Linked DNA regions of Cricetulus griseus. The protein of the gene in region 1 purifies or fractionates together with the protein of each later gene. This does not show direct contact. Links are inferred from orthologs where the notes say so. Each region holds a gene or a part of one and is shown in the gene's direction. Other genes may lie near its edges.

The links.
Region 2: the proteins of Igf1r (region 1) and Pcna purify together in Homo sapiens (affinity purification with western blotting; 3 studies listed by BioGRID, with this or other methods). This does not show direct contact. The link is inferred for Cricetulus griseus from reciprocal best matches to the Homo sapiens genes IGF1R and PCNA.
Region 3: the proteins of Igf1r (region 1) and beta-arrestin-2 purify together in Homo sapiens (affinity purification with western blotting; 4 studies listed by BioGRID). This does not show direct contact. The link is inferred for Cricetulus griseus from reciprocal best matches to the Homo sapiens genes IGF1R and ARRB2.
Region 4: the proteins of Igf1r (region 1) and Arrb1 purify together in Homo sapiens (affinity purification with western blotting; 3 studies listed by BioGRID and IntAct, with this or other methods). This does not show direct contact. The link is inferred for Cricetulus griseus from reciprocal best matches to the Homo sapiens genes IGF1R and ARRB1.
Region 5: the proteins of Igf1r (region 1) and Rack1 purify together in Homo sapiens (affinity purification with western blotting; 4 studies listed by BioGRID, with this or other methods). This does not show direct contact. The link is inferred for Cricetulus griseus from reciprocal best matches to the Homo sapiens genes IGF1R and RACK1.

Annotation. Positions count from the first base shown.
Region 1 is NC_048596.1:129,027,032-129,032,778, reverse strand, and holds part of Igf1r (insulin-like growth factor 1 receptor), read left to right. Parts: intron 1-1,524; coding exon 1,525-1,651; intron 1,652-2,962; coding exon 2,963-3,201; intron 3,202-5,747. UniProt on the Homo sapiens protein: Receptor tyrosine kinase which mediates actions of insulin-like growth factor 1 (IGF1). Binds IGF1 with high affinity and IGF2 and insulin (INS) with a lower affinity. The activated IGF1R is involved in cell growth and survival control.
Region 2 is NC_048599.1:46,330,120-46,336,532, forward strand, and holds Pcna (proliferating cell nuclear antigen), read left to right. Parts: upstream 1-2,676; 5' UTR 2,677-2,686; coding exon 2,687-2,907; intron 2,908-3,633; coding exon 3,634-3,731; intron 3,732-3,879; coding exon 3,880-3,947; intron 3,948-4,219; coding exon 4,220-4,414; intron 4,415-5,779; coding exon 5,780-5,903; intron 5,904-5,990; coding exon 5,991-6,070; 3' UTR 6,071-6,164; downstream 6,165-6,413. UniProt on the Homo sapiens protein: Auxiliary protein of DNA polymerase delta and epsilon, is involved in the control of eukaryotic DNA replication by increasing the polymerase's processibility during elongation of the leading strand.
Region 3 is NC_048600.1:84,229,815-84,236,090, forward strand, and holds the start of beta-arrestin-2, read left to right. Parts: upstream 1-1,943; 5' UTR 1,944-2,050; coding exon 2,051-2,073; intron 2,074-4,999; coding exon 5,000-5,030; intron 5,031-5,642; coding exon 5,643-5,703; intron 5,704-5,815; coding exon 5,816-5,860; intron 5,861-6,063; coding exon 6,064-6,260; intron 6,261-6,276. UniProt on the Homo sapiens protein: Functions in regulating agonist-mediated G-protein coupled receptor (GPCR) signaling by mediating both receptor desensitization and resensitization processes.
Region 4 is NC_048596.1:99,979,216-99,985,515, reverse strand, and holds the start of Arrb1 (beta-arrestin-1), read left to right. Parts: upstream 1-2,523; 5' UTR 2,524-2,745; coding exon 2,746-2,801; intron 2,802-5,447; coding exon 5,448-5,478; intron 5,479-6,300. UniProt on the Homo sapiens protein: Functions in regulating agonist-mediated G-protein coupled receptor (GPCR) signaling by mediating both receptor desensitization and resensitization processes.
Region 5 is NC_048600.1:63,456,522-63,462,828, forward strand, and holds the start of Rack1 (receptor of activated protein C kinase 1), read left to right. Parts: upstream 1-2,030; 5' UTR 2,031-2,152; coding exon 2,153-2,261; intron 2,262-2,536; exon of another isoform or gene 2,537-2,604; intron 2,605-3,261; coding exon 3,262-3,433; intron 3,434-3,682; exon of another isoform or gene 3,683-3,762; intron 3,763-3,917; coding exon 3,918-4,065; intron 4,066-4,498; exon of another isoform or gene 4,499-4,566; intron 4,567-4,744; coding exon 4,745-4,840; intron 4,841-5,156; coding exon 5,157-5,267; intron 5,268-5,702; coding exon 5,703-5,843; intron 5,844-6,307. UniProt on the Homo sapiens protein: Scaffolding protein involved in the recruitment, assembly and/or regulation of a variety of signaling molecules. Interacts with a wide variety of proteins and plays a role in many cellular processes.

The DNA of each region.
Region 1 (5,747 bases):
TGTGAGTTCGAGACCAGCCTGGTGTACAAGAGCTAGTTCCAGGACAGTCTCCAAAACCACAGAGAAACCCTGTCTCGAAAAACAAAAAAAAAAAAAAAAAAAAAAAAAAAAAAAAACAAAAAAAAAAAAAAAAAGGCTGGATGAGGCAACCTAGTAGGAGGAAATGGATCCTAACAGCTGGCAAGAGTCAGAGACAGCGCTACTCCTACTGTTAGGAGTCCCACAGGTACACCAAGCTATACAATTACAACATTTATGTGGAGAACCTGGGCTGTAAGACCCAGTATTTAAAAAAAAAAAAAAAATTCTAAAGCTTTATTGACCCTCTGTCTTTGACTTTGAAGCATTAGTTGGGGGGAAAAGAGTCATATGACCAAGGGTTAGTCAGATATGCACATACATACAGAGGAGGGGCTAGCCTTGTCTTTTGAGTGTCTAAACTTATCTGATACCCTCATGAACCAGGAGGCATTTAGGGAAGAGTTGTAGATGCTGGAAGTATGTACATAGCCAGAACCTTCACCTTCCTGCAGAGCCCCCTGCTTTCTTCCCCATTAAGACCATAGCAAAAGCCTGTGACCACAGCATTTCAAAGCACTTCTCCCTTAGAGGCAGCCAATCTGACCTGCAGGTCATGAATGCAGCAGCCATTTATTTTTCTTTGGAAGCACAGTCAGGGGTTTCTCTCTGAGTGACACGTGAGCAGAACCTGCAGTGCTCCCTGGGTTTCCGTTGAGCACATTTTGCCCGGAAGACTTCGCAGTGTTCTGTTCTCACTCAGTCTCTTGCCTTTAGCTCATTAGTGTGACAGAAAGACTCAGGATGTTTGGGGACTAAGGACAACTCGCTGGAGAGCTTTGGGTGTCCCGCCTCTGCAGTTGGAATATTGTGCTGCAATCAGGGCAGGCTCAGTGCCTCACCATACCTCACAGCAAGGGTGTATCTGCCACAGAGCACAGGGATTGCCCAAGTCAGGGCCCACCTAGTCTTATTCCAGCTAGAGCACTCTTGGGGTCTTATATCCTTCTGGTTTGGTGTCAAGTTCAGACTAAGAGAAGCCCCTTTTTGTGGCAGATCTTAAACCTACCTGCCTTTGGTGGCTTCATAGAAGCCGTCAGATGTCCACACCTGCAGAGCACCTGCTGTCCTCTCAGGCCAGCTACAGGTTTGCTGTCATTTAACCAGATCCCCATTAGCAGCCAGCTTACTATGGATGAGCTGAAAGTTAAGGCCACCTTCTTCACTAAAGAGGCTGTTCTCACAGGTTGAAAAGCAATTACAGGCTCATGCCTCATTCTCTGGGTGGGTGGCCAGTGCAGTGAACTGAACTGAAGCAAAAGATGAGCCCATAGGAGCTCCCTGGTGAAACACTTAGACCCTTGATGGAAAGTAAGAATGCTTCCTACAAAAATCCAGACAGAGCTTAGCACAGACAGCTGCTAGCTTCAGAAAAGAGAAAAGTAGTGCACAAGCTTCATAGTGATGTGTGGATCTCTCACTCATGGATGTGCCTTTATGCCCCAGGTGAAAGCGACGTTCTCCGTTTCACCTCCACCACCACCTCAAAGAACCGGATCATCATAACATGGCACCGGTACCGGCCCCCAGATTACAGGGATCTCATCAGCTTCACGGTTTACTACAAGGAGGCGTGAGTTTCTGTGTTTGTGCCTGCTGTCCTGGTGTGGAGCTTCAGGGTGGAGATGACAAGGCCTTTGGTTATTATATGAGTTGGCTGAAGAGGGAATCAGTGGGTTTCCTTTGAAGAGTCAGACCTGGTGACCACTCCATCTTCATGTAGCCTCTCTAGTTGTCACATGACACTGTCCCAACCTGTAACAGCTAGTCAGGCCTTTCTTTGTTTAGATGGTTTGAATGTTTGATCAAGTTCAACCCAAAGGAAAAGGGGATGAATTTTAAGAGACTTGGATCCATCCAAACTGTCATAAGCTATCATGTGGACTTGGTTAAAATAAATGCTTTAGACTCTGTCTCTGAATACACTGGTCCGATATCTTCCATTCACTCTGTGTAAGCATAGCTTTGCCCGGACTCTGCTCTGGGTCATGAGCCTTGTAGAATTAAAGAATGGAAAGGGACCAACCTCAGTATCAACAGTTTCCAGGATCTTCCAAGACTTTCCCAGTACTGATAGCATCATCCTGCCTATGCAGTCATGACTTGCTCCATGTTGCAGCTCTTGGAGGCATTTCATCACCCTACTTGGCCTCCTGTGTCCAGGTAGTTCCCTAGTCTATATGGTCATTCATTTTCCCAAGGCTCATCTCCCCAGAAGCAACAAGCAAAAGTGCTGGTACAAGGGTCCTGGGTTATAGCCCATGAATGGGGGCATTGATACAATTTGAACAGTGAGTCATCTCAATGTTCCATCTGTGCAGAACCCTTTCTTGTCTTTGAAAGTGCTGCCAATACATTGGCATTGTTAACTGGTGATTTCTCTAATGCCACTTTCTGTGAGACCATCGGGAAGTAAAATATTTAAGTATTATCAGCTTATATTTTAGAAACTTTTTTGGTAAGAAAGTTAGTTTTGTTCAAAAGTAATCCTTTATCAATATCCAGTGTTTGCATGAAACAGCTATGATTTAAAAAAAAAAAAAAAAAAAAAAAAAAAAAAAAAAAAAAAAAAACCTGCTCCAGTTCAGAAGAAAGAAAGAAAATCAGTATCTGTCTGTCTCAGGAGCAGCTTTTTCAGTCCCTGCGAATATAGAACTTGCTGTCTCTCTCTGAGGCTGCTTGTTCAGTTCTGTGGTTCATAGCTGGTGAGCTCCCGAGTCCAGATGCTGGATTTTATTCTTGTATAGAAATCTAATTGATGATGAGTTTTATTTGGAATTCCCATTATAGACAGTGTGACACACTCAGCCACTGGGGAAGGTTCTTGAGAGCTGTGTTGCCAGAGCCCTTCAACATTCTCTGGCCTTCATTGATTGTCTTTCAGACCCTTTAAAAATGTTACGGAATATGATGGGCAGGATGCCTGTGGCTCCAACAGCTGGAACATGGTGGATGTGGACCTACCTCCCAACAAGGAGGGGGAGCCTGGCATTTTACTGCATGGGCTGAAGCCCTGGACCCAGTATGCCGTCTATGTCAAGGCTGTGACCCTCACCATGGTGGAAAACGACCATATCCGTGGGGCCAAAAGTGAAATCTTGTACATTCGCACCAATGCTTCAGGTATCCATGCACCAGATGAGCCCCCTGTTCCCTGACTTGTTATAAGCTTGCTGTAGTTAAGTGTGGCTGTAGGGATAGCAATGAGATGCCTGTTGTTGCTGCTTAACACTGTGTTGTATTATTCTCACTGCTAACACCTCAAATTCTGCTGAGCCATTTTCTGGACTTCATACTTTCTTAAGCCTCTCTCTCTCTCTCTCTCTCTCTCTCTCTCTCCTCTCTCTCTCCTCTCTCTCTCTCTCTCTCCCTGCCCTATGCTAATGAGCCTGTATCCTCCAGAGTTGTAAGATGGTTTCGTTCTGAATGCCCAGGGTGTAGCCACCTACAGCTGTTCTCATCTGTTTTAATGCAGACTCCTAGGACCTAAAATGATGCTGATCTGTGCACTAGATCTGTGCTGCTCTACTGGCTTACTGGTTTTCCATCTTTATTCTTTGGCCAGCATTTTCAGCAGGCAAATAAAGGCTAAAAACCTAATGGGCTTAGAGCATTGTGCCATCCAAGCATGGACTGTTGACTGATTCCTCCTCATCTTCTCTTCATGTGCTGAAGTACTAATTCCCCAACTCCAAAACCTAGAAATGGTGAAAGCAAACATTTGCATGAATTTGTATGCAAAGACAAGAGATATATATATATATATATACTTCATTGTAAAGGTAATGACTGTCTTAATACATTTGGGCTATTACAACAAAAATTCTATCTTACAAAGCAGAGAAACATACTCCTCACCATTCCAGAGGTTGGGAAGCCCAAGATCAAAGGGTTGACATTTTGTGTCTGGTGTGAGCCGCCTTCTTGGCTCATGGAGATCTGTTTGATGTGTCCTCACATGCCCGAAAGAGTACACATAGCAGTCTCTGACCTTCTTTTGTTAGTGTTAGTTCTGTTGATTAAAACTCCACCCTCATGACCTAATCATTTTGCAAAGCCCCAACAGTTGAAGGCTAGGGTTTCCACATAGTGACTTGTGGGGTGAGGCACACACACACAGTCCACAACACCAGTAAACATTCTCTGAGAACAGATTATGCTACAGTGAGTAGAGTGTGTTAAAATAGTGCAGACTAGCACAAAGTTAAGTATAAAATGGCAGAGTGTGAAAATGTTAAAAATAACGCAGAGCTCATACACCCCTACTTTTCCAACCCTTACCCCATAAGCAGTCACCATCATTTGCTGACCCTGAAGTCTTCATAAAAATGGATTTTCTACAGGCTTCTAGTCCTGGGAATGAGTTGATTTAGTGGAATTTCAAGTGCAACAGAATACATTCATTTTCATCTTAGAATTTGGGAGTAACAATTCCCAGAGAATCTTTGCAGCCTATTTAAGAAAGAAAGTGGAATTTCTTTTTGTAGCAGATTGTTAAGAAATCTGGTTGTTCTTCCTAAATATTAAAAACTGCATTTTGGCCCCTGTCCTCACAAGTACTAGGGACTGTTATGACATACTTGGTCCATCCTTTGCCCCTGCTTCATCTGTGCAACCTGTCATTGAAATATCTGGTAATAAACTTTGAGAAATTCTTTTGGAAACCCTGAAGGACCAGACATCAATGACTATAGTTTCTTTACAAAAGTTAGTATTAGTCCTGATCTCCCGGCATGCCACTCCTCAGCTGTTCTCAGAGTCTTCAGCATCTCATACATCCCAAAGTCCTTATTAGCTAGTTAGTCCTTTCTGTGGTATGTGACCAAAAACAACCTGACAAGGAAAGAATTTGGCTTACCTATCTGGATCATGATCTATCATTAAAAGGCCAGGGCAGGGGCTGGAGAGATGACTCGGTGGTTAAGAGCACTGACTGTTCTTCCAGAGGACCTCAGTTTGATTCCCAGTACCCACATGGCAGCTAACAACTGTCTGTAACACCAAGATCTGGCACCCTCACCCAGACATACATGCAGGCAAAATGCCAGTGTATATAAAAAAAGAATAAATAAATTATTAGAAAATAAAAGGCCAGGGCAGGAACCTGAGCAGAGGCAGGAACTATGGAAACGTGCTGCTAACTTAGAACAATTTTCTTTCTAATAAAAAAAAGGTGGGGGAAGTGCTGCTAACTTACTGGTTTACTCCCCATGGCTTGCTCAGCCTGCTTGCTTACAGAACCCAGCCTAGGGATGGCACCACCCACAATAACCTGGGTCCTCCCCCATCAACCACTAATTAAGAAAATGCCTTACAGGCTTGCCTGTAGCTCTGTCTTATTGATGCATTTTCTCAATTTAGTTTCCCTTCTCTCAGATGACTATAGGTTGTGTCAACTTGACATAAAACTAACCAGCACAGCCTGTTTTTGCCTTTCAGATTTTAAAAAACAGCTTTAGTTGGACCTCATGGTTAAGAGACATACCATGGTCCTATTTCTTGCACTTTGAAAAATGCCAAAGTCTTTGGGTGGTGGGTGGGTGGGTGGGTGTGTGTGTGTGTGTGTGTTGTGTTAGGGAGTACTTTGGCTGTGACATTGATTTTGCTATGGGAACTCCACTGAGAACATGGCAGTGGCCCTGATTGTTTTCCTTTTTACATTAAGTTAT
Region 2 (6,413 bases), on another chromosome or scaffold:
ACAGTCAAGGCTGTTATGAAGAGAAACCTTGTCTCAAAAAAACAAAAAGAGAAAAACCCAAGAAAAGAAAATCTTCACAAATATATGTAGCTATATTATAGGTTTTCATTTTTGTTTGTGATGCTGAAGATCTAACCCAAAGTCCTAAACACACACACACACACACACACACACACAGAGAGAGAGAGAGAGAGAGAGAGAGAGAGAGAGAATCACTAACCTATAAGCCCCACCCTATGTTATGTTTTGATATGTGAAGGAATAATTCAGGCTGCCAAGACTGCTTAGCAGGTCTGGCAATCCGAGTTCTAACGTGGAATCCACATGGTGGAGGAACAGAGCTGCCTCTTGCAAGTTTTCCTCTGACCTCCATACACGAGACGTGACTTACATGCACCACATATAAATAGATGTTAATAAAACAATTCATTATACATAAAGCAAAAAAGTGACAGTAGCAAAACTTAAAAATGAGCCAGGCAGTGGTAATGCACCCCTTTAACTCCAGCATTTAAGAGGCAGAGGCAGAGGCAGAGACAGACGGATCTCAGTAAGTTCGAGGCCAGACTGATCTACAGTTCCAGGACAGTCAGGACTGTTACACAGAGAAACCCTGTCTCAACCCCCCCCCAAACAAACAAACAAAAACCCCACAAAACCCCAAACAAACAATCAAACCTTACAAATAAATGACAGGGACTTACTTGGAAGAAAGTCCAGAGACAACAGAGCAGCATTCTCTTAAAATTATTTTTATTTTATGGAGTTGCCTGCAAGTATACCACAAGCATGCCTGGTGTTTTGAAGAGGGTGTGAGGTTCCCTAGAAGTGTAGTTACAGAGGTTTATAAACTGCCATGTTGGTGCTGGGAACTGAACTCTAATTCTTCGAAAGAGCAGCCGGTGCTCTTAACCACTGAGCCATCCCTCCAGCCTTAGACTGGTATCTGAGTTGTTTCATCAATGCCCTTTAACAAAGCAGAGTATAATACATTAAAAAGAGAGTAGCAGCAACTAAGTGAGAAACTCTGGATGTAAGAATGTAAGCAAACAGTGCAAACACCTTCATTCTCTCTTGTGACACTGTGAATCATGCTGGGGCCTGCACAGGTCAGGCCAGCACTCTCCTGTAAAGGCCAGCACTACAACCTTTCATGGGTTCTGGCTAGGGAACCTGAGGATTAACTAAGAAAAGACACAATAGGTCATTTTTGCAAGGAGAATGCCAGTTTATTTCAGAGGGGAGGAGACTTATATGCCAACAGCAGCCACAGTGGAAATTTACTCAAATCAAAGTCCATGCTCTCAAGCCCCCTGGCAGAGGGCAGAAAATTTACACTCTGGCATACAAACCTAGGCAGAAGGAGGAAATGGACAGCGAGCCCCAGGGGCCCCTTAGGTCACCCAGCCGGGTCCCAATGTTAGGAAGGCAGTGGTGGCATACACCTTTAGTCCCAGCACTCTGGAGGCAGAGGCAGGTGAATCTCTGTGAGTTTGAGACCAGCCTGGTCTATAAGAGCTAGTTCCAGGACAGCCTCCAAAGCCACAGAGAAACACTGTCTCGAAAAAAGCAAAACAAAACAAACAAACAAACAAACAAAAAGAGGCATTTGAAATAGAAACTGTGGACTTTCACATTAATATTTTACACTTTCGGCATCAAACATATTTTATCCATCACCAAAACAAAACAAAGAGAAGAAACATTAGAAATTAAAAAAAAAAATAGCTTTACATCCGTTTGTAGCTGGTGTCCACCACCTGCATTCAGTTTCCCCCACCCTTATAATCAACAGGAAAAAGAAATTTCAGTAGAACAAAACGCAGCAGGAACACATGCACCTGTAATGGCTGACATTTTCAGGAATGGGTATTGATTTTAACATGAAGTTATTGGTGCTTAGCCTCTAGGCCCTGGGTTCATCTCCAGCCTAGATGGGGTTCAGGCTAGGGAAAGAGGCGTAACAGGGAACTAATTAGGTGGGACCTATGGATTATGTATCTTAAGAGATAGTCATACTTTGGGGTTCTTTGCAGAAGTGTTCACGGCAAGAAGGAACTCTTTAATCTTTAGGGAGGAAAGTTCAGAGCGCCCAACACAGTGAAGTGATAGAAAACCGGGGTTAAGATGTGGTGGCTCCTTCCTTACTCGGTATTTTGCAGCGTTTTCGCCTACGCAGTAGCAAAAGCGCTCTGTAGTGTTTGAAACAGGTATACTTTTCGACTTCAGGCAGCCCTGCACCCCACCCCTCCCAACCCCCGACCCGCGCCTCCCGGCGCAGCTCGGCTTGCACGTGACTTTCATTTCCGTGGCGCGGAAACTTGCCGGGACAAGCCTCCTCCAAAAGGTGGGCCTCCGCGGATCCCATAATGCCCCACGCTTCCCACGCCCGTACGCCGCAGCCCCGCCTCTGTGTACGCGGCAGGGCGGGCCTTGCGCGGGACTCGGATACGATTGGTTCTGAGGGGAAGGTGGGTGGGGCAGCGCGGTGACGTCGCAACTCTCGCGCACGGAAAGAGCGCGCGCCTAGGAAGCGGCAGCATAAAAACGGTTGCGGGCGCCCAAGTTGGTAGTCGCTCCCTGCGGGTCCTCGCTGCCACTTCTGCATCGCGAGCCGGGAGACCTTCGCGGCCGGCCCTCTCTCCTGTCACAGTCTCTAGTATCTAGTCGTCGCGACTCCGCCAGGATGTTCGAGGCTCGCCTGGTTCAGGGCTCCATCCTGAAGAAGGTGTTGGAGGCTCTCAAAGACCTCATCAACGAGGCCTGCTGGGACATCAGCTCGGGCGGCGTGAACCTGCAGAGCATGGACTCGTCGCACGTCTCCTTGGTGCAGCTCACTCTGCGCTCCGAAGGCTTCGACACATACCGCTGCGACCGCAACCTAGCCATGGGCGTGAACCTCACCAGGTGAGCGGGTGGCGGGAGCTGGGCTCTAGCCCTCCCGCCTCGGGTCTTGGCGGGGCTCCGGCTCCGTGCTCTCATTGGCTGACGTGGTCATCCGCGCCTTCTGATTGGTGTCTGGAGCTGGGGGCGGAGCCCGAGGAAGCGCGCGGTTCTGAAAAGCCCGCGCTGGTGGCCGCGCGAACCCGCTGTTTCCGCGCCAAAGCCACAAAACGGGTGCCGGCGGGAAAATGCCTGCGTTGGAGATCAGTTCATTAAACGCCAGCAGCTTTTTTTATTTCAGGGCACAACCTTGTCCTGGCTAATTTTAGCTGCCTACTAAACGTGTTCTGGTGAAAATGTGGTACTGTCCACTTAGAGGGACAATAGGCCTTTTCTACTTGGAGTCTAGAATCTCATTGCGAATCATTTGTGGGAAAATTTACCAGTCTTAGCTTTTAACTTTGTTACAGATGCATGAATTTGCCACCGGTATACGTTTTAAAAGATTTGTGAAAAGGCCACATATGATATAGGGCACACTCTGATACACTGGAAACCAAGGACATCCTGCTCAAAAAATTATTTACTGGCATATTGCCTTTGAGTGGTTTTAAGGATCACATTCCCGATAGTTTACTCCCCCCCCCAGGGGATTTGGTGTGGGCGTAAAAGGGTAACATCTTGTAATTGCCTTTAAAAGAGTAGATGTTGAACACATGGTGTTGATAAGCCCTGCTTCTTGTTTTCTAGCATGTCCAAAATACTAAAATGTGCTGGTAATGAAGACATCATTACACTAAGGGCTGAAGATAATGCCGATACTTTAGCACTCGTATTTGAAGCACCAAGTAAGTTACACCTCTAAAACTCAATTGTTACAGAAAGCAAAGTATGATCTGTTTCTCAAAACTAAGGATATTAACAGAATTGCGGTTGTAAAGTTTTACACCATAGGTATGAACATGTGCTTCAATAACATTTGCTTCCTTTTGTTAGATCAAGAGAAAGTTTCAGACTATGAAATGAAGTTAATGGACTTGGATGTTGAGCAACTTGGAATCCCTGTGAGTATCTTGTTCTCGTTTCTGGTGGTCTTTGAACTCATTCTGTAGACTCAAACTCAGCAGAGATCTGCCTGCCTCTGCCCCCTTAGTGCTGGGAGAATATCCTGTTTTCGCTGGTGAATTTTACCAAGCTGTGATACCAGCTGATGAGTTCCAAAGTGGGTATTTGGAATGAAAGACAATTTCACTAAGCAATGACAGTCTAAAATTGAGTTTTAAAGAAATCAGATACTTGTCCTCACACTTCTGACCTTTAACTTTGGGATTTACAGGAACAGGAGTACAGCTGTGTGGTAAAGATGCCTTCTGGTGAATTTGCGCGCATATGCCGAGACCTTAGCCATATTGGAGATGCTGTTGTAATATCCTGTGCAAAGGATGGGGTGAAGTTTTCTGCAAGTGGAGAGCTTGGAAATGGAAACATTAAGTTGTCACAAACAAGTAATGTTGATAAAGAGGAGGAAGCTGTAAGTAGTAAAAGTTGTCTGCAGTGTCTGAAAGGGGAATGAATATAAGCTTAACTGCTGAGCTGGTTCTCCAGACCTAGCTCTTTTGAGGTGGAGTGTGAGTAGACCAGGCTGTCTTTGAACTTAGATACTCCACACTCTGCATATATGCTTTCACAGGTGGGACTGGGAAGCTAGGTGTTTCCAAGCTTTTGCTTCCTAGAATGACTGACAAATAAGCATTAACAAGTGAACAGAAGAAAATGGTTGGGGTTGTGAGTCTGTTGGGATCATGTAGATCTTGTAGTAAGTAGCTTTGTGTTGGACTTTCACGTGCTACCCCATTTAATGGTGCAAAAGCAGACTAAGTAAAGTTGAGTGTTGATAAGTTTTAAAGTCCTCAAAAATGAGGAAGATGTTGGAAAGGCAAAGGAAAAATGCCTGGAAAGCCTCATTCAAGCAGAAGATACTAGGCTAATTGCTAAATATTCAGAAGTCAAAACTTTTTAATTATACTAAGTTTTTTAAAAAGTTTTGCCAGCTAGTCTGAGCATCAGACTATAAATTGCAGACACAGTCTGAACTAAATATGATTTTTAGTGCTAAATGTAAAATTCGGAGTGCTTAACACAAAGTGTTTAATGTTATTTTGTCTGCAACTTGTATAACTGAGGATTAGAACATATATACACAACCCATAGGGCTGGTTCTTAACCTTAATCTGTCTGCTTAATTATTCCTACTTACCTGTCATCCTCAGATCACAAGGTATTTAATTCATAAGTATTTTGTTTAAAGCATAAGCATTACCACAACAAAGGAAATTAAGTTTTCAGTATTCACATGTTTCTTATTTCCTTAGTTTGAATTGGGACTTGAAAAAAATTCCTGATAAAATGAAAATTGGTCAACATGTCCCTTAGCTTGCATTTAACTTGTTGCTTCTTGTTACTAGAGTTGGTTATGAGCTGCTGGATGTGGGTGCTGGGAACCAAACTTGGATGTTGTGGAAGAGCATCGAGTATTAACTGTTGGGTCATCTCGCCAGCCGTGGTTACTTTTGGGGGTGGGAGTTGAGTGTTGTACATTGAACCCAGGACTTATATTAGTCAAGTGCTCTACTGGTTAGCTATCATTCCATTTCTTTTTCCTCTATATAGATTCTTTGGAAGAGATTAGTGCTTGCAGTCTAGAAAAGAACAGCCACTTTCTTTGTGTTGCTTGGGGTATGCTTCTACAAGAGATAGGCTAAATGTGTTTTAGTCTTCAAACTTTTCATAAAATCCTCCAAAGTGATAACTAAAGGTTTTTGTTTTGTGCTGTATGTTATGTACTAATGTGTGAGTTTCTTGATGTTGTGTTAAGTGAGCCTGTTTTCTTCTCTAGGTAACCATAGAAATGAATGAGCCAGTTCAGCTAACTTTTGCACTAAGGTACCTGAACTTTTTCACAAAAGCTACTCCACTGTCTCCTACAGTAACACTCAGTATGTCTACAGATGTACCCCTTGGTAAGATACTAAGTTTTAACATTGTTTTGTAGTATAGTAATTACTCCTCAGTCATTAACTTTTCGATTAAATTTTCCCATCTTTTAGTTGTAGAGTATAAAATTTCTGACATGGGACACTTAAAGTATTATTTGGCTCCCAAGATTGAAGATGAAGAAGGATCTTAGGCGTTGCTAGAATCTGAGAAAACCAAGCCTTTGAGAACTGCTTCTGAGATGCCAGCATGTTTTGAAGTCTTTTCTGTCACCGAGTTTGTACCTGAGTACATATGTAGATATCTTCTGTAAATAACCTACTTTTTTCTCTCTATTCTCCACAATTTGTTTAAAGAATAAGCTCCAAAGCAAAAACTGGTTCTTTTAACATAAATATATCTGCCTTAGAAATCCTGGCGATTTTTTATGAAAGATGTTGACGCTAAATGCAGTTTCAAGAAATGTTTTTCAGTTTAAATAAAGTTAACTGAATCCAAATGTCGAACAGTGTCTTTGAACCACAACTACTGAACTC
Region 3 (6,276 bases), on another chromosome or scaffold:
GCACCACCAATGCCTGGCCCACATGGAGGTTTATAACTGTAACTCCAGGTCCAGGAACTCTGATGCCTTCATCGGACTATGTACACAAACAGTGGTGAACATACATACATGCAGGCCAAATCTCATACACAAAAAATAAATTTTAATAATAAAAAAAGAGTAAACTGAAGAGATGACAATAGAACTGGGCAGGGCAGGTAACAGGTGTTGAGCAAGGCCTCTGTTTGAAAATTAAAGGGGATTTGAGATTTTCGTCTCATGGACAATCAGTGGACAAGTAAAGAGAAAAGCACAAAGGTATTCCATCTGAGGAAAATGGGGAAGAGTACAAAAAGACAAAGAGGAGAAAAACCTGTCTAGAAATATCAGCCATCCTTCATCCTCCCCCAAACCCAGTCAATGTCACCCCAGAAATGAACCTCTAATATGGCCCCTCTTTTCTCTTCCATGCCATCGTTTACCGATTTCTCATGGCCAGCTTATTTCTATCAGTCTTCCTCCCTCCCCACCATACTCCACGTTACCCAAAACCAGAAATTTCATTACTACATTCTTTTTTTAAGATTTTTTATCTATTTATTATGTATACAATATTCTGCTTCCATGTACAGCTGCACACTAGAAGAGGGCACCAGATCTTATAAGGATGATTGTGAGCCACCATACGGTTGCTGGGAATTGAACTCAGGACCTCTGGCGGAGCAGTCGGTGTTCTTAACCTCTGAGCCATCTCTCCAGCCCCTCATTACTACATTCTTCTGGTGAAAAACAAAATCAAAATCAAATATCTCCTGGGCTGGGGGTAGGGATATAGCTCAGTGGTGACACTTGCCAAGCATGTTTGAGGCCCTAGCAGAAAATTTAAATTAAATTAACAGGACCGGTTCCTCAGGCTCTTTCTTTCACTTGCTACACAAAATCTCCACAATCCCTTCTAGTCCTCCGCAGTTCTCCTTCTCCTGCCATCTAACCCACAAGCACTTGAGAACAGGATGTACTTACTACTTTGCCTTACGCAGTCTTTAGGACGTCCTTTCCCCACTTCTGCCCATCCTTCAGAGCGGCTGTCCTCAAATTTCCTATCCTCTGGAGTGACTGACTGCACTCTGTTCCTCCCCCCACGCTGGCCAAGCGCTTTTAGTTGCCTGATGTTCTGAGTCATACCTCTATTACAGCATTCCTGGGAGCATAATACCTGTCTTCCATGTCTCAAGGATCCCAGGAAAGTTAGGCCATTGTAATTCATGTGCTGTCCCAATGGCTTGCACAGTGACTAACACAAAATAGAGAGGGAGGGAAGGATGGAGAAAGAGAGAGATGGATGGACTGGGTGGATGATAGCTGGCGTAGATAGTAGAGGAGATGGCAAAGTCGGAGAAAAATTTAGAAGTGATCCTGCTAAAATCAAAGACAATAACACCAGGGGGAGCTGAAAGACCACAAGAACGCGGGAAGGCGGGCCAAACAAGGTTGCAAACTCAGGGATGAGCAGCGCACATCATCATGCAACTGATAGGGTTCACCCACGTGCGCAGTACCAGGTCGTCAGACCCAGACAGTGTTTGATCTCATTCCCACCGCCCCCACTATCCCGTCCCTCCACCGCCACTGTGAAAGCAAACAAAGGGGAGGGATCCCTGCAGGGCTATGGATACCGAAGGCCAATCAGATGGCTCTAATTGCCTGGAAGGCAGCCGCCTCCATTTAAAGAGGCCCAATCTGGTTCCAAGGGGTTGAGGAGGGGAGGCGAGATGGGCGGGGAGAGCGGGAGAGGGACCGCGCGGAGAGGCGTCCCCCAGGGAGACCGAGGACGGAGGCGTGGGGCGGAGCCAGTCCGGGGAGGGCGGGCAGCGCCGCAGCGCGCGGGATCCGGCTGACGCAGCTGGCCCCGGCTCACCGAGACCCAGACCCGAGGGGAGGGGAAGGAGGAGAAAGAGAGAGGACGCGCGTGCGCAGTGGCGCGGGGAGGAGCGGGGGGACCTGGCAGCGGGCAAGAAGGCTGCGAGCGAGCCGCGAACCCGGCGGGCGGAGGGCGGCGAGCGCGCGCACCATGGGGGAAAAACCCGGGACTAGGTAAGGGAGGTGGGGACGTGCTGCGGGGCATGGGCGGCGGCTCGCGGAGGGTGACAGCATGATCCCCAGACAAGGACACCGGGCAAGAAACCCGGGGGCCGGATGCCCGGGTCCCTAGAGGGTAGCGGTCTGGGGCCGCAAGCCTAGGTCCTTGCTTGAAGATATCGGGGTTGGGAAGCGTGCTTGGGCTCTTGCAGAAAGCAAGAGCTGATAGTGATCGGGAAACCCACGCCTGGGTTCTCGCAGAGATGTAGGAGTCGGACTACTGGGTTCTCTGTGCAGGCTGAGATGCAGGGGCGGAGGAAGGAGGAGCAGGTGGCCGGCCCCGAGGGGTTGTGTGCAAGGAGACTGGATGCTGGGAAGGGATTCCCCTAGACTGGTGCCCAACCAATGGAAAGCCTCCTGTCCAATACCCCATAGTCTGGTTGCTCTCACCTGTCCCAAGGGCCGGATAGCTCTGCTATCAAACTTCGGTCTTCTCCTAGGTTGCTAGGAGCAACAGCTTCTTGAGGGAGTAGAGTGCATAGGAACCCTCGCTGAAATTGGACTGTATTCCTGTCCCTGGGAGGGGGAGAGGTGGTATCTGCTCTGGGCACACACATCCTCTCCCCGGATGTTTTCTGGGCAATCGAGGCTCCTTCCTTCCACAGATACCAGAGTTCTCTTTTTTGGTCTATAGCAAAATCCACTTCCTGTTGTGACCAAACACCCCCAAGAGGACATGGGGTGAATGTTTGAGTTCCAAGGGAGCAAGAGCAAAAGAATGATTTGGGGCTCTCTGCCTTAAGCCAGAGAGAGGACTAAGAATAAGGGCCTGATCCTGAACAGTCACTCTGCAAAACCCAGGATCAACCCTACCACTCCCACTGCCCTTGGGGTATGAGAATTTAGGCTTCTAAGCGTCAAGAGGACTGATATCTGAGAGAGATGATCAGAGGAACTATTGGCCTCCTGGATTTGGGGTTAAAACACCCCAGAGAAAGGGGAAGTCACTTACTTGGGGGAGGCCCCCTAATTTCCATTGCGTGTTCAGGAGAGGGAATAGATGGACCAAGGAGAGACTGCTGACTTGGCATAATTCCTTACAGTCTCATCAAATTCTGGGCCATAGGAAATGGAGAGAATGGCAGGAAGTACAAAAGGGCATCTGCCTTAGCTACCTCGCACAGCTGGGCACCTCCCTGGTAATTCCCTTACTCTGCCAATTTGGCCAGCCTCAGTATGGGCATACGATTTCCCTCCCTAACCTGGCAGGAGATGGCTGGATAAGATGTAGAGGGCGGGTGCCCTGTAGTTACTCAGGGCAACTAACCAAGAGGCACACTGTAGCTGTCACAGCCTTTTGTCAGGGCTTCTTTTGGGGAAAACATAGGACATCGGGAAGCCAGAAGTAGAAGAGAGACCAAGCCTAGGTGATATACTAGCTGTCAGCCCTCATTGGGACAGAAATTAGAATGATAATTCTAACTGCTACCATGTCCGTATTTGCCTTTGTTGCTTGGGGGTACTCAGGGGTACTCTATGAGTTTGTCATGTGACCCTATGTGTCACATGAGTTGAAAGAGGGATGGAACACTGGGCAGTGTTTCAGTTCGTTCTCTAGGAACCCTTTCCAGGAGTTGCTGCTGAAGCAAAGTGCATTAGAAGAGGTAGCAATGGCCAGAGCCCTGGGGTCTCTAGACAGTTCCCTATGCTCCCAGCAATGGGTTGGGGATCACTAGACAGTTCTCTGTGCTCCCAGCACGGGTGGAGTCTAGGCTTAGATTATTTCAGTGCCTGTATAGAAAACCCTCTTCAACTGGACAAACTGTCAGTGATGGGCCAGTTTAACAATTTAATGGTTGACAGCAGGGACTTAAAGTCAGAGTTGTCTTCCTTAAGTTTATGCCTGAGTTCCACCATGTGCATTCTCTCTGACCTTTGACAAAATTCTTGACCTCTCTATGCTTTGGTTTCTTCTATCTAAAACAGGAATTATTTCGACTTATGTCTTTGGGCTATTAGAGTAGTCACAATGCAATTGGAACACTGCTAGGACCAGAACAGTCACCCAATAAATGTTAGCCAGTATCCTCTTTGTCACATGGATGCTACTGTGTTGGGACACCTCAATGTACAAGATCCCAGGGGTCACAGCTGTCAGCCTTTGTGAAATCACAAGTAAAATATAAACAAGATGGGAAAGGAACAGGGAGGAGGGAGTGTTATTGTGCTGGCGGTTAAAGTCGAGGCCGAGTCTTCAATCTGACGGAGATGATGTCTGAGTTAGGCCTTGACCGACAAATGCATTTTTTTTAAGATTCTGAGGTCAGAGATGGGGATGTTGGAGGTTCATGAAATAAGCAGATGTGGGCAGTGCCTTCAGTAGAAACTGAGGGGTAAAGTCAAGGCACTGCTCCAGGTGTCCTCGAAGCTAGAGGTCATTTGAAAAGTGGCTAGTTTAACTGAGGGTGGTGGTTCACGCCTTTCATCTCACCATCAGGGATGCAGAGGCAGGTGGATCTCAGAGTTGGGGCCAACCTGGTCTACATATCAAGTTCCAGGCCAGCCAGGGTTACATAGTTAAATCCCGGTCTCAAAAGAAAAGTGTGTTAGGTCTGACCCAGACATTGGATAGCCATCTAGTTCCCATCTTCTTCTGGGGACGGTGCCCTCGGGAGAGTCTAGATGGTTCCTGGAGCAACCAGTGGCCATTACTGTAGAGGTGGATCAAATCAAAGGAGCAAGTGTTTGCCCTGACAGTTGGCTTCAAGGGGCTGCCATGTGGAAAATACTGGGACTTTGTTAAAAAAAAAAAAAAGTGGGAAGGGTAGACCAGGGATCCAGGGTGAATTCCACTTCTTGGGCTAGGGAGGGATAAGTCCTGGTGTGGTGGTCCCTGCTGAGTCTAAGGGAGGCAGTGGGGTCTCCCTTTCTGTTTTGTTAGGGTCTTCAAGAAGTCGAGCCCTAACTGCAAGGTGAGTCACCCACAGTGCTTATGCTTCGATCCTTCCTGGGCCCTATCAAAGCCCAACCTACCCCCAGCTGATCCCCAACCCTTAGCTCCCCACTTCCTGTGACAGCTAAAAGCAGACTTCCTTCCCTCCTTAAGCCCCTTGCCACAGTCTGAAGAAGCCACAGGGCTGGGTGGGGACCAGGCTAGGTTCCTAAGCAAGCTTGTAATTCTCTTAGGAACCAACCCAGGGTACTTGGGACTAGGAAAAGTTAATAGTTCCCCAGGCTGTGGCCTGTTTATTGCAGAGCCCTTTGTGGGGAGAGCTGCTAACTGCCTGGTCTGACTGAGTGCTCCCTGAAGACATGGGAACACACACATATACACACATACACCTCTGTCCTTGCTTGGTGGACAGCGGTATGAAAAGTGACCAGAGGAGCAGACAAAAGCCTAAATGAAAGCTTTACTGAATAGTCTGGAAAGCCCTACCACTCTCACCTTCCAATAACACTGGGAGAAACTCCTTCCTGATAACCCAGCCAAGGGGAGCCCAGGACAGGGCCGCCATCTTTGAGGGCTCTGGTGGCTTGCCACCATCCTCCCCAATTTTGCCTGTGACCCTTGACATCCTCAGCTCACCGTGTACTTGGGCAAGCGCGACTTTGTAGACCACCTGGACAAAGTGGATCCTGTGGGTGAGTTTGCCTAGAAGGGGGTAGCTCATCCCCCCAGGAGGGAGGAGGTTCCTGGTTCTGGGGATGGGGAAAGGCCGCCTTCAGAAAATGAATCCACGTCTCCCTTTCCTAGATGGCGTGGTGCTCGTGGATCCTGACTACTTGAAGGACCGCAAAGGTACTAGACCCAAGTCCAGGAGCTGGAGGGGAGGCAGGAAGAAGAAGGAATTCGATGGGTTGGCATTGGTAGGGTGTCCCAGACAGATGGAAGGCTGAGGCAGAAGCAGGGGGTAGGATTCAGGGAAGTCTGTCGTGCTGAGGAAGGATGTGGGCGACATGAAGGATGTCTCTTGATCATCCCACCTTGCCCTCGCTTTCCAGTGTTTGTTACCCTCACCTGCGCCTTCCGCTATGGCCGAGAAGACCTGGATGTACTGGGCCTGTCTTTCCGCAAAGATCTGTTCATTGCCACCTACCAAGCCTTTCCCCCCATGCCCAACCCACCCCGGCCCCCCACCCGGCTACAGGACCGACTGCTGAAGAAGTTGGGCCAGCATGCCCATCCCTTTTTTTTCACAGTGAGGATGCTCCCTT
Region 4 (6,300 bases), about 29 Mb from region 1:
CTGTTATTTGCTGAAAAGACTATTTTAGCAGGTGTGGTGGCTCCCACCCATAAGGCTGAGGCATGAGAAGCTGGAGTTTGAGACCAGCCTAAGATACATAGAAAGGAAGGAAGACAGACAGACCGACAGACAGAAAGACCGTTCTTTCTCTTCATCACCTTGTCTTAGCTCTCTTGTAAAAAAATCATAAAAATGCCACAATTTGAATATAGATAAATACAGATTGCCACAAATATGTAGGTTTATTTCTATACTATTAATTATCTTTTATTGATCTCTATGTTGTCAGTACCACACAGCCTTGATTACTCTATCATTAAAATAATTTATTGTTTTTATTAATGTGTTTGTCTGTGTACATGTGTGCAGATGCTTGAAGAGGCCAGAGGAGTCATACCCCTGGAGCTGGAGTTACAGGTGGCTGTAAGCTGCACGGTGTGGATACTGGCATTAAACTCAGGTCTTCTAGAAGAGCTGTGTGTGCTCTTAAACACTGAGCCATCTCTCCAGCCCCCTTAATCACTGTATCTTTGTAGTAAGTTTTGAAGTTGAGAAGTCCAAGCCTTCCAAATTTGTCCTATTCTTTTCAGGATTGTTTTGGCAGTTCTTCTCCCTTGCATTCCCCTGTGAATTTCAGGATCGGTTTATCATAGGCATTCTCCTTGTTGGGTTCCAGCTGGTCTGCTGCTGTAACACATGCCTCAGGATTCCAAATTTTTTGTTTGTTTTTTCGAGACAGGATTTCTCAGGATAGCTTTGGAGCCTGTCCTGGAACTCTCTCTGTAGACCAGGCTGGCCTCCAACTCAGAGATCCACCTGCCTCTGCCTCCGAGTGCTGGGATTAAAGGTATGAGCCATCATCACCCAGCTCAGGATTTCAAATTTTACAATCATGTATCTGACAGGACTCAAGCCTCTCTGTTTGTACTACCATGTAGCAGAATATCCAGAACATTGCTGAATTTAGCAGCCACAGAAAGACAGTGTGGTAGGCAAAGCAATGCTTTGTCCCAAGATGTCGGGGTCCTACTCCTTGGGGCCTCTGAATGTTGTGCTATGTGGCAATGGGTAATGATGGTTGCAGATGGGCTTCAGGCTGCTAATCCGATGACCTTAAAACAGAGAGATCATTCTGGATTACCCAGATGGTCCCTGTGTCATCTCAATGGTTTTCAAAAGGAAAGGGAGGGCAGATCTGAGTGATGCCGTATATAATGAGAAGGCCACCTTCTCTCATTGACTTTGAAGATGGAGGAAGGAGGAGGCTTCCAGAAGCCAGAGAGAGTAGGAAGCAGATTTGCCCTAGAACCCCCCAGAAGTAATCAAGGGCTGCTGACACCTTGATTTTAGCTCAAGGAAGCCCACTTGAATTTCTGAAGCACAGAACTCTAGTTAAGTTTGTGTTGTTTGAAGCCACTGAATTCGTGGGACTTTGTAAATAGCAGCCACAGAAAATGAGCTTGAAGGGTTTGGGGACCCATGGATGGTTCCTTCTGTGCCTCTGGCTGAAAGTGGCATGTGACATTTGCACCCGCATTTCATTGGTCAGAATAAGCCACAGGGGGGCGTCCAACTCCACAGGAAGGAAGATGCCTGGCATCCCATACATCCAGCCTCAGGGAATCCTGGTGCCTGTAGGGAGTATCTAGTACATCTTTGTTGCCTGTAGCACTTGTTTCTATAGTCTAGTCCATCCCATTTCATTAAAAATCAAAAAATAAAGCCAGGTGTAGTGGCACTTATGAGGCTGAGGCAGGAGGATCTCTGAGTTTGAGGCTAGCTTGGTCTACATAGTGTGTTTCAGGATAGCTAGAGCTACATTTGTGAGACCCTGTCTTGAAAACAAACAACCAACCTCAAAATATAATCAGGCATAGGAGCGCATGTCTTTAATCCCAGCACCTGAGAGGCAGAGGCAGGAGAATCACTGTGAGTCTGAAGCCAGCTTGTTTGTATTTGAGTTCCAGGACCCTGCCTCAAAAAAAAGGATCTCTGTGTATGTACGTACTGTATGTGTATGTGTGCGTAGAGGCTAGAGGTCAACTATGGATGTCTTCCACTATCATTCTTCACCTAATTTTTTGAAACAGGGCCCATCACTAAACATGGAGCTTTCTGTGAACCCAGAGCTCTTTATGTAGGCCAGACTGTGTGGCCACAGAAGCCCCCGGGATCTGCCTATCTTTGCCTTCCCAGTGCTGAGGTTACAGGTGCAGCCTGCCACATATAGCTTTTACATGGGTACTGGGCATCTGAACTCAAGTCCTCATGCTTGTGAAGCAGGCGATTTATCCACTGAGCCAGCTCTCCGACCTGTAATGTTTTAAGTAGGTTTCCTAATCAACCAGTGACTTGCAACCTCTGGTTTGGACAATACTAATCTCCAGAGCCTCTTCTGCTCATGCTTCATGGACCACAGGCTATGTCCTGGACACAGGTGATTGGGCCAGGGGGTGGGGTACCTAATCAAAGCTGACCAATCAGATTCCTCTCCTGGGAATTTGGAATTGGGCCATTCAGTCAGTTAGCAGCGGGAAGCTGAGTGAGAGGCAGGGTAGAAACAGGGTTGGAGTGTGAGTCACATGCGAGCCCAAAGGATGGAGGAGCAGAAAAATCCCTGAGTAAGCGGGGCGCGCTGGTCCACAGAGACAATGGAGCAGCCGCACAGACAGCCTCGCAGCCAGGAGGCCCTGCAGCAGCCCCAGAAGGAGCGGTGGAGACAGGGAGCTACGGCTTGAGGCTCCGATGGCGTCCCCATTCTCAGCTCCGGCCCCAGCGCATCCTGCCTGCTCATCCTTCCCGTGAGATTTTGGCCTCCTTATTAGGACCTCCTCTTCTTTCTCGAGCTATCCTGAACCTTAACCAGGAAGGACACTGCTGGTCTTTCTCTTTGGGGAACCCAGCTGTGACTAAGGCTCAGGTTGTGGGGCACAGGCAAGGCTGGGGGTGAACAGACGCAGCTGCTCAGCAAGGCTGGCTGGGATTGTGGGCTTAGGTTAGGCCACGGGCAGAGAGGTCTATGCGGTGTTGCACACGTGGGGTTGTGGAAACGGAAAATACCCCATAGAGCCTCTTTTCTGACAGTGTTGGGGCAAGAAGTGAGTGGAGTTTTGAGTGGTGGTGCTTGGCTATGTGATGGAGTGGTTGAGTCTCGTGGGTGCCTCTTCGAGCCTCAATGTCTCCATCTTTGAAATGGGATTGTCCAGGAAGAGCCTTGTCCTGGGAAAAGTACTTAAAGGCATGAGTGGGGAATAATAAACAGACAGAGAATGAGGCAGCTGCTCTTGTTGTTTGAGGAAGCCACAAGAGTCCTGGCTTCCTGAAGGAGGTGGCCTCGGGTGCTGACTAAGGTAGTGGCAGGACATTCCCCACTGATGGCTGTGCTTCCTGCCCCTCTTCAGCCCCACTCTGCCCCTCACCCCAGTCACCTTTCATTTATCCCTCTCTCCCTCCCCTCTTGTCTGTTCTTCCTGCCGTTTTGAAACATGGATTTAGGAAACAGTGGGTTGGATTAAGGCACCAATCTCTGGAGGCCCAGTCAGAAGTGAGTCTGGGTCCCGACCTAGCCCCTTGCTTGCTGTGCTCCTGGGCAAGTTAATGCATCGCTTGGAGCCTCCAGTTAATTATCTGTGGAGTGGGAGTTAGACTATCCTTTCTACTATGAGAAATAATGAGCTGCTCGGCAGAGCTTTAATTCCCCTCCCCTTTGCCTCTCTCCGCTGCTTGGTGAATATTGCTCCTCCTGGCCCCACGTGTGCCTCGTCCTTCCCGGCAGCCACTAGAGTGGCTTTCTCTCTCAGTTGTTTATCCTGCCTGGGTGTGAGATCTTTCCTTTTCCTTAGAGCACAGGCTACCAAGGGCTGGAGGTAATTGTGACTTGGAAGCCACAGGGTTTTCACTTCTCTGGTTTCCTGGAGAAACATGGAGCTCCTAGCTTCTAGCTTGGAGTTGCTGGTTCAGATGGAGTGGTCTGCATTTTTTTCCCCTTACTTTAACAATTATCACACCCTGGCCAGTTGTGGCTTCTTCACACTCCCAACACTGATAAATATTAATGAGAAGACAAGGCTCCCAGGGCCCCTAGGGGAATGTTTGGGGAGAGGCTGGGCCACGCTCTCCTTTGCAAGCAATACTCAGACCTGTCAATATTCCCTAGGTCCCAGAAGGGAGGGTGAGGCAGGGCCATGGCTGTGGAGACCCCACACAGTCACAGGCCTGGATGCCTGCAGATCAGCTTCTGGGAAGGATTGGGGCACACCCTGCTGAGGCTGCCTAGGGGTTTCACCTTTCTGGGTCTGTCCCATCTCTCCCTGCTTCAGGCTTTCTGATTCTTTCCCTGGTTTTCTTCTCCTCCTGTCTCTTGTTCATCTTTTATTTTCATACCTCTACCTCTGTCTCTCTCTTCTCTCTTCACACCTCCCCTCCTTTCAATACCTTTCCTCATCCCCATCTCTCTAGCTTTCACTTTTCTTCTGCCTCTCCCCAGTAATGGCTGAGAAATTGTGGGCTGGATAAAGGTACTTAGGCGAGGGAGACTCGGGTTCCCAGACACAGCTCTAGAAGGGGAAAGGTTGCCATGAAAGGCAAGTGGCACTCTTCAGGATTTAGGGACTACATTACCATCTAATCTCAGGCCCAGTGCTCTGCTATTCGAGCATAGGCATCTGCCCCCACATTCCTGTGCCTCTGTCCCTCAGTGAAGCAATGAAATTCATTCATTTATCTGTTCAACTAGTTTATATTGTACTCTTGCCACCCTCAATCATTTAACAAGTATTTCTTGAACAATAGTGACGTGTGCCTTTGTGTGTGTTTGGGATGTACCCGTGGACAGGAGAGACAGTGGGCATATTTGGAGCGGGCATGCCAGCAGAGCAGACAGGTGGGGCAAGAAGTAAAGTATATGGTCAGGGGGTTGCTGGGAAGAAAGGAAGAGTGAATCAAGAGAAGGACTGGCTGACAGGGGTAGTGGGATTGGGAAAGTGGGCATTTGGGAAGAGTGTCCAGGGTAAGAGAGTAGGGTAGGGGAAACTGGGAGCAAAGGCCTTGTGCAGCAATCACCTGGTGGATAAGGAACGAGGAACAGAGGGGCTGGAGAGCAGTGAGGCTGGAGACTAAGGGAGGGTGGCAGGAGGTGACATAGGGAGGGAAAGAGGCCAGGTCAGATCACTGGGACTTAGCAGGCACTGAAGGATTTTCCTTTACTCGAGCTGGGTGGGCTTGTGAGTCTCCCTCAGCCCACTCTGAAGGATTGAAGGAGGGCTGCAGGCAGCTAACATTCATCCTAGGAGGAGAGGTGGAAGGAAGGAAGCTGTCCTGCTCTGAGGCTTTGCTGGTCCCTGTAGGACACTCAAGGCCTTTATCTATGGCCCTGTCTAGGGTCGCCTGCAAGAGATTGGCTGGGCAGAATCCATTAACCCTGGCTTGGCCTCTCTTTCTTTTCACAGAGTGTTCAAGAAGGCAAGCCCCAATGGAAAGGTGAGTCTGTAGTGTGTGCTGACTCCTCACTGTTCCCACACTCTGGGTGCCTCTGTGGATTAGGAAAGGAAGCAGCATCTCCTGGGAGAGACAGGCACTGTTAGCTGTCTAGGGCTGACACAGCTCTGTCCTGAGGGCCATAGGAGCCCAATGGGATGTGTGGGATGTGGGGGGGAGAGCTCCCTGGAAACTTTCTGTGTGGGCTTCAGGGAGCCCCAGTTGGGGGAGAGATGGACTGGCTTCTCCCAAAGAGACATCAGTGTGAGTGTGAGAAACTGAGGCAAGCTGGCCACTGTGACACCATCAAGTCCCCTGGTGTGAGAGGTCATGGTGTCACCTCATCCATCCATCTTTCTTCTGGGACTCCCAGGGCCTGGGCTTCTTGTTTGCTTGCACAGGCTGTAGGCTGTATCCCATTTTACTCTGTTCAGCAAACAGGTAGTACTGACATCTATGCTAGGTCGGGGCTGGGACTGCTGGGGGTTGGGAGGGTACCAAGATAAGAGAGGCATGGTGCTCCCAGTGTGAAAGTTGATCATCTCACACAGAATGCCAAGTGTGAGATTCTGGGATGCCCAGGGACTGGAAGACCTTGCCTGGGATGTGTGTGTCAACCATGGCTTCTTCTGGAGGTGACACAGTTCTAGGCAAAGCTAGGTGAAGAGGGGGATCTCTAGGGTTGAGCATAAAATCCAAGAAAGTGTGGGGCATCCCAGGGTTGTAAGTCTCCAAGCGAAATGAAGGAACAGTGTAGAGGATGACACAGGGCACATGGCAGTTTCCTGTGGCTGGGCTTAGCAGCTCACACACCCTGGGTTGCCT
Region 5 (6,307 bases), on another chromosome or scaffold:
TCATCGAAAGGAAGCTAGAATGTGGGTGTAGTGATTCACCTTTCTATTTACGAAAAGCAGTACAGAGACACAGAAAGGTGCTAGCATGACCCACCTAAAGGGCAGCAAACTGATTATGGGGTGAGTAAGGACAGGTGACTTCCAGGACCACCACAGAAACAAAACAATAGAAAATGAAAGTCATTCAGTTGGGTTTACCAAGGACACAGGTGATATATAACCTTAGGGTCCTAAAAAGACACTCATCAGGCTGTAAAGGAACACATCTAGGACAGCACCCTGTGTAGTCCAGAGAGTCGGGAAGGAGCGGGGGGGGGGGGGGGGGGGGGGGGGGGGGGGGGGGGGGGGGGGGGGGCGGGGGCCTGCAAGAGGCCCAGAAAGCAAGTGGCCTTAAGTGAGAAGCCCTAGTCTTTGCACAGCTGGGCAACCACAGGGTGCAGCAGCCTTGCCACTATACTCGCCTAACATGTTCCTTTCCAAATGCCTTCAATGTACCTTGCTCAGCGCTTACCCTAATCTAGCAGGTTCTGTGCCAACTCTCACTGTTCAGCCCTCATATACCAGTCAAGAACCTTTGCAATAGAACATGATCACAGGAGATTGCTTTCGCATCTGCCTATGTCTTTACTCCAAACTTCACTTTTTTTATTTTTGGTTTTTGGAGACAGGGTTTCTCTGTGTAACATTCTTAGCTGCCCAGGAAATCACTCTGTAGGATAGGCTGGCCTCAAACTCATTGAGATCCGCCTGCCTCTGCCTCCCGAGTGCTGGGATTAAAGACATGCGCCACCACCACCCAGCTCCCTACTTCACTCTTAACCACATTGCCTTACTCTACCACAAGATGTAAATTATTGCAAACAAAATGGCCATCTGGCTTTTTCTTTCTTTCTTCTGTTCATAGCTGTATCCTAAAGCCTAAAACAGCAGTTCAGCAACAGAACTAAAATAAATAAATGTGACCTTTAGTTCATAGATGTTAGTGGTTGCTACCATCCTAACTGGTGGTCCTTTTTAAAAATATTTAAACTGGAGAGATGGCTAAGAGGTTGAAAGCACTGGCTGTTGTTCTTCAAGAGGTCCAGAGTTCAATTCCCAGCAACCACAAGGTGGCTCACTACCATCCATAACGAGATTTGCTCTCTTCTGGCGTGCAGGAACATATGCAGGCAGAACACTATATGGATAAATAAATTTAAAAATTAAAAAAAAAATAGGCGGGCTGGGCGTTGGTGGCGCACGCCTTTAATCCCAGCACTAGGGAGGCAGAGGCAGGCGGATCTCTTGGAATTCGAGACCAGCCTGGTCTACAGAGTGAGTTCCAGGATAGGCTCCAAAGCCACAGAGAAACCCTGTCTCGAAACCCAATTCCCCCCCAAAAAAACCAAACAAACGAAAAAAAAAAGTTGTAAAATTTAAGGAGAGATCTGTGACATCGGAGGGCCACTGCAAACTTAAGTGTTGAGATTAAGGTCATCAGGTTACCAAATTATCAGTGTTCCTCCGCTTCCCTGTCCAGCCACTTCTTTCAGGGCTACACAAGACAAACTAGCAGGCTTTTCTGTGGAATGGTCAGAGTCACAGAAAGGGATTCCAATAAAAATCCCTTAAAACAAAAGGGCCAGATTGGACGGCACACGCCTTTAATTGCAACTTCAAATATACTTCCTTAGGTCATAGCTTAAATCGGAGTCGCCAACCCAGGAACCGGAACACCAAGCGAAAAGGGCGGGGCGCCGTCTCTGCCACGTAGCCGGGGAGGGAGGAGCCGCTGCAGTATGGCGATGAGCCGGTCGTCTTACTTTTCCTTCCTGAACACGTACTAATCTGCCGAGGAGCCTTTATTAAAACCCAGTAAAGCTTACTTAAGAACGCATTTGTTCAGCAGTCGCCAAATTATGTTCCGTGGCAGAAGAAACGGCGACATTGCGACTTACCGCGCCCAGCCCCTCCCACTACCTGGTGACGCCATCTTTGAGCAGCAGGGAATCATGGGAACCCCCGCCTTGCTCTCCGGGTATTTCCGGTTCCGCCGGAGGCCGCTCTTTCTTTTTCTCCGCGGCGTCGCTGTGGCTGCCGCTGTGGTGCTTGGCTCTCTGAGCTATCCGGTGCCATCCTTGTCGCTGCGGCGACACTCGTATCAGCTGCAGCCATGACGGAGCAGATGACCCTTCGTGGGACCCTCAAAGGCCATAACGGCTGGGTAACACAGATCGCCACCACCCCGCAGTTCCCAGACATGATTCTGTCTGCGTCTCGAGGTACGGGCTGCATGCCGGGCGAAATAGCGCGTTTCCCGGGGACTGCGCGTCTCCTGGCTTCGCAGGTGGCGCGTGGGTTGGCTGGCTTGGTCCATTCCCCCACCCAGTTATGAGTTGGGGCGTGCAGACCCGAACCTGGGCCCCAACTAGGGCGACCCTTTGCACATGGACGGAAACCGAGAGGTGTCGCATAACTCCCATAAGATTAGGTGACTAAATCTCTTCGTCTGTCTTCTCGAGATATATTTAAGTAGTTAGGGAGCTACAAGCCAGGCGGAGCAATGATGACCCCAACATGCCATCTGAGCTACTTTGCTGAAATCCAGAGGCTGTTTCTGAGCTGCCGTCTGGCCCTGAGCTCTGAGCAGTGCGTAAACTAAGGCTTTTTATTTTTCCTCATGACTTATCTTTATCATGATTTGCCCACCCAGGTCTCCCTATCTGCCCAAATTTATGTTCATTCTCGTGTGAAGCTTATCAGGCACTTTATTCGTTTCTGTATGGTTTGACATGGTGCATGGCTAGGACTGTCTTATTCTACCATAGCTACTGCATTTCTAGTCAACCCTTAAAGGCACAAAAGGTGGTCTGCTTATCCCACACCCAAGTGACTTTGCTACTTTTGAGTTAGCCTTGTGCTGGAGTGATGATAGATAAAACTGGCTCCTCAAGGGGACTAGGTAAGGTTTGTTTCCCAGAACCCACATGGTGACTTGCAATTGTAGGTAGTTACAGGGAATCTGACACCCTCTTCTAAAAACAACATGGGCACACATGGAGGGGAAACATTCAACACAAATTAATCTTGGGTTGGATTTGAGTTTCAATCCCAGCAAGTGTGGTACCCCATAGTCTCGGGTGTGCCTTACATCTTTTCAGTTCCTCTCACTGAATGTAGTGATGCTCCCCTTGTTATTACACCAGTAACCGTAAAGCACTGTAAATTATGCCCAGTATATAGGTGTGGGTGCCTATGTAATTTCTTCCCCAACCTTTTCAGACAAGACCATCATCATGTGGAAGCTAACCAGGGACGAGACCAACTATGGCATACCACAGCGTGCGCTTCGAGGTCACTCCCATTTTGTCAGTGATGTCGTTATCTCCTCTGATGGCCAGTTTGCCCTCTCAGGCTCCTGGGATGGAACACTGCGCCTCTGGGATCTCACAACGCAAGTAGCTGCTTTGGGACCTTGGGGGAGAGCTGGGCAAAATTGAGGTAGATTCCCGAGGGTGTGGTCTCCCTCGGAAATTGGTTTTTTTATGGAGGGTGGGGTAAGATGTTGGTGTTGACCTCTTTGAGGAGGGAGCTAGAGGGCTGTCGTGTAGTTGGAGCGTTTTTACCGGGTACCGCCAGCTGTTAAAATAAGTGTTTCATCTTGAAAGCTGTCCTAGATGAGCATTTGGCAGGTGTAATAGAGGATCCTAGTGATGACAAGAAGACATTGTCAACCAATCCCCACAAGGGAATGAGGACATGTCCTGCAATTCTGAATGGGTTCTCTGGCACATACCAAGAATGGGCTAATAATAGAACAAAGCCACATATAAGCTGTGTGGAGTGATAGAGCCTACTGGAGCAGCAATGTAGCCAAGAAAAGGGTCTGACTAAAAGGATAAGATTTGTCTAGAAAGTGACCAGGTTCTCCCATTTAGGGGCACCACCACGAGACGATTTGTAGGCCATACTAAGGATGTACTGAGTGTAGCCTTCTCCTCCGACAACCGGCAGATTGTGTCTGGATCTCGAGACAAGACCATAAAGTTATGGAATACTCTCGGTGTCTGCAAATACACTGTCCAGGTAAAGTGATGGAGGTAAAGGCTACAAGTTAGAGGTTATCTCCCAGCCCTTGGGGATTTTGTTGCAGTTTTGAGATGGTTCATTACTATGTAACCCTGCTTAGACTAGAACTTTGGTCTGCTTATTGCATGCTGGGATCAAAGCTGTGTGCCACCATCTAGCTCTTTTGTAATGTGTGGCATTTGTCTGGGATTTGGTTGGTTTTTACTATATATTTAATGCATTCTTGCTCATGAGTGGCTTGGGACTTGGGAGTTGATTTTTCTTCTGAGTTGGGGCATGGAACCCTAGGCCAAGGCATCTATTGGGCAGGCCCTTACACATGAGCAAATACCCAGATGTGTCCCATAACTTCCCTAAGGGTTAGGGGGTTTTAAAATCTCTACCTACCTCCTGGAAGTATGTTTAAGTACTTGGGGGCTACAAGCCAGGCAGAGCAGTGATGACTCCAACATGCCATCTGAGGTGCAGTGCTGAAATCCAGAGGCTGTTTCTGAGCTGTGCCTGGCACTGTGCTCCATGAGGAGGCATCCTAGGACTCAAATATGAATCAGCAGGCTTGACAAATGACTTTACCAACTGTTCTGTTGATCCAGAAGTATAGGTTTGCCAGAGAGTGCTGTTGCCCCACTTAGGGTAGTTATCTGTAGTCCTCTTACTTACCTTGCATCTTCTGTAGGATGAGAGTCATTCAGAATGGGTGTCTTGTGTCCGCTTCTCCCCGAACAGTAGCAACCCTATCATCGTCTCCTGTGGATGGGACAAGCTGGTCAAGGTGAGCTTCAACAATGGCCTGGCCCCATTAGAAATCTAAAAATGTTCCCATTCCTCTGAGATGGTAATCACTCCGGTTTGGAATGTTTTGCAAATTAAATTACCTTGGCTTTGGCTCTTGATGCTTTATCTAAGTTCATTAGGGATTGAGTTTGTTTTTGAGGCCAGATCTCACTCTGTATCTCTGATAGGCCTGTGTCAGCCACTCAAATATTGGGATTACATGCGCTTGCATAAAAACCTGTTATGAGTTACCTTTAAGGAAGATGCTATTCTTTCTTGTGGCCATAATCCTGGTCACTCACCTTTTTCCCTAGGTATGGAACTTGGCTAACTGCAAGCTGAAGACCAACCACATTGGCCACACTGGCTATCTGAACACAGTGACAGTCTCTCCAGATGGATCCCTCTGTGCTTCTGGAGGCAAGGTATTTAGGGGACCTCTGATCTTTATTTATGGAGAACACTTTCATCTGATAGCATGTACCAGTTAAAAGATGAGCTTAAAATGTGGGAATGTTTCTAAGGATTATCATAAAATATATAGAAAGGCATACCAAAGAAATTTTCCTTTAAAACTAAGTTGGTAGCTGAATAGATGGCTCTGGGATTAAGAGCACTGACTGTTCTCCCAGAGGTCCTGAGTTCAATTCCTAACAACTACATGGTGGCTCAAGACCATCTAATAAGATCTAGTGTCCTCTTCTGGATTAGGGCTACACACAGGCAAAACACACTGTATACATAAATAAAAGTAAGTTGATATACGTATTATACATTACAGGGAAGGTCTTAGGACCATGAACGCTGACACTTCAACCATTAGCTTTATCTATCCTAACTCACCATTTATGTCCGTCCAGGATGGCCAGGCTATGCTGTGGGATCTCAATGAAGGCAAGCACCTTTACACACTAGATGGTGGGGACATCATCAATGCCTTGTGCTTCAGCCCCAACCGCTACTGGCTCTGTGCTGCCACAGGCCCCAGTATCAAGATTTGGGTAAGTGATCTGTTGTGCACCACATTGATTTCAAGCTTTATTGGTAGATTCATCATTCAGCTGCTGTCAGTTGACAAGTTGGGATTATTTTTTCTTAACACTTAGCAGCACTGGGCAACATTTGACTAATAAAAGGGAATGCCCATATTTGGCAATTTGTTGAGTCATTTGGGCCAAAGTAATTCTCCTTTGAGAGGCTATTTTGTCAGCATATGTGGTATCTACTCACTAGATGACCATTAACAGTTACAGCCACACACCATGAAAGATAAGCAAAAATAATCCCAGTAGTGTGTAGCAGGTAGTAGAGCACTTAGCTAATGCATGAGAGGCATAAATCAAATCCCTACCACATGTGCCACTAGTATCAACTAAAAGACTGGGGATTCTATGTGGTATTTTTATGTTTTGGACAGTGTGTAACCCAGGCTGACCTTACATTTATGAGGAGTCATCTTGACTAA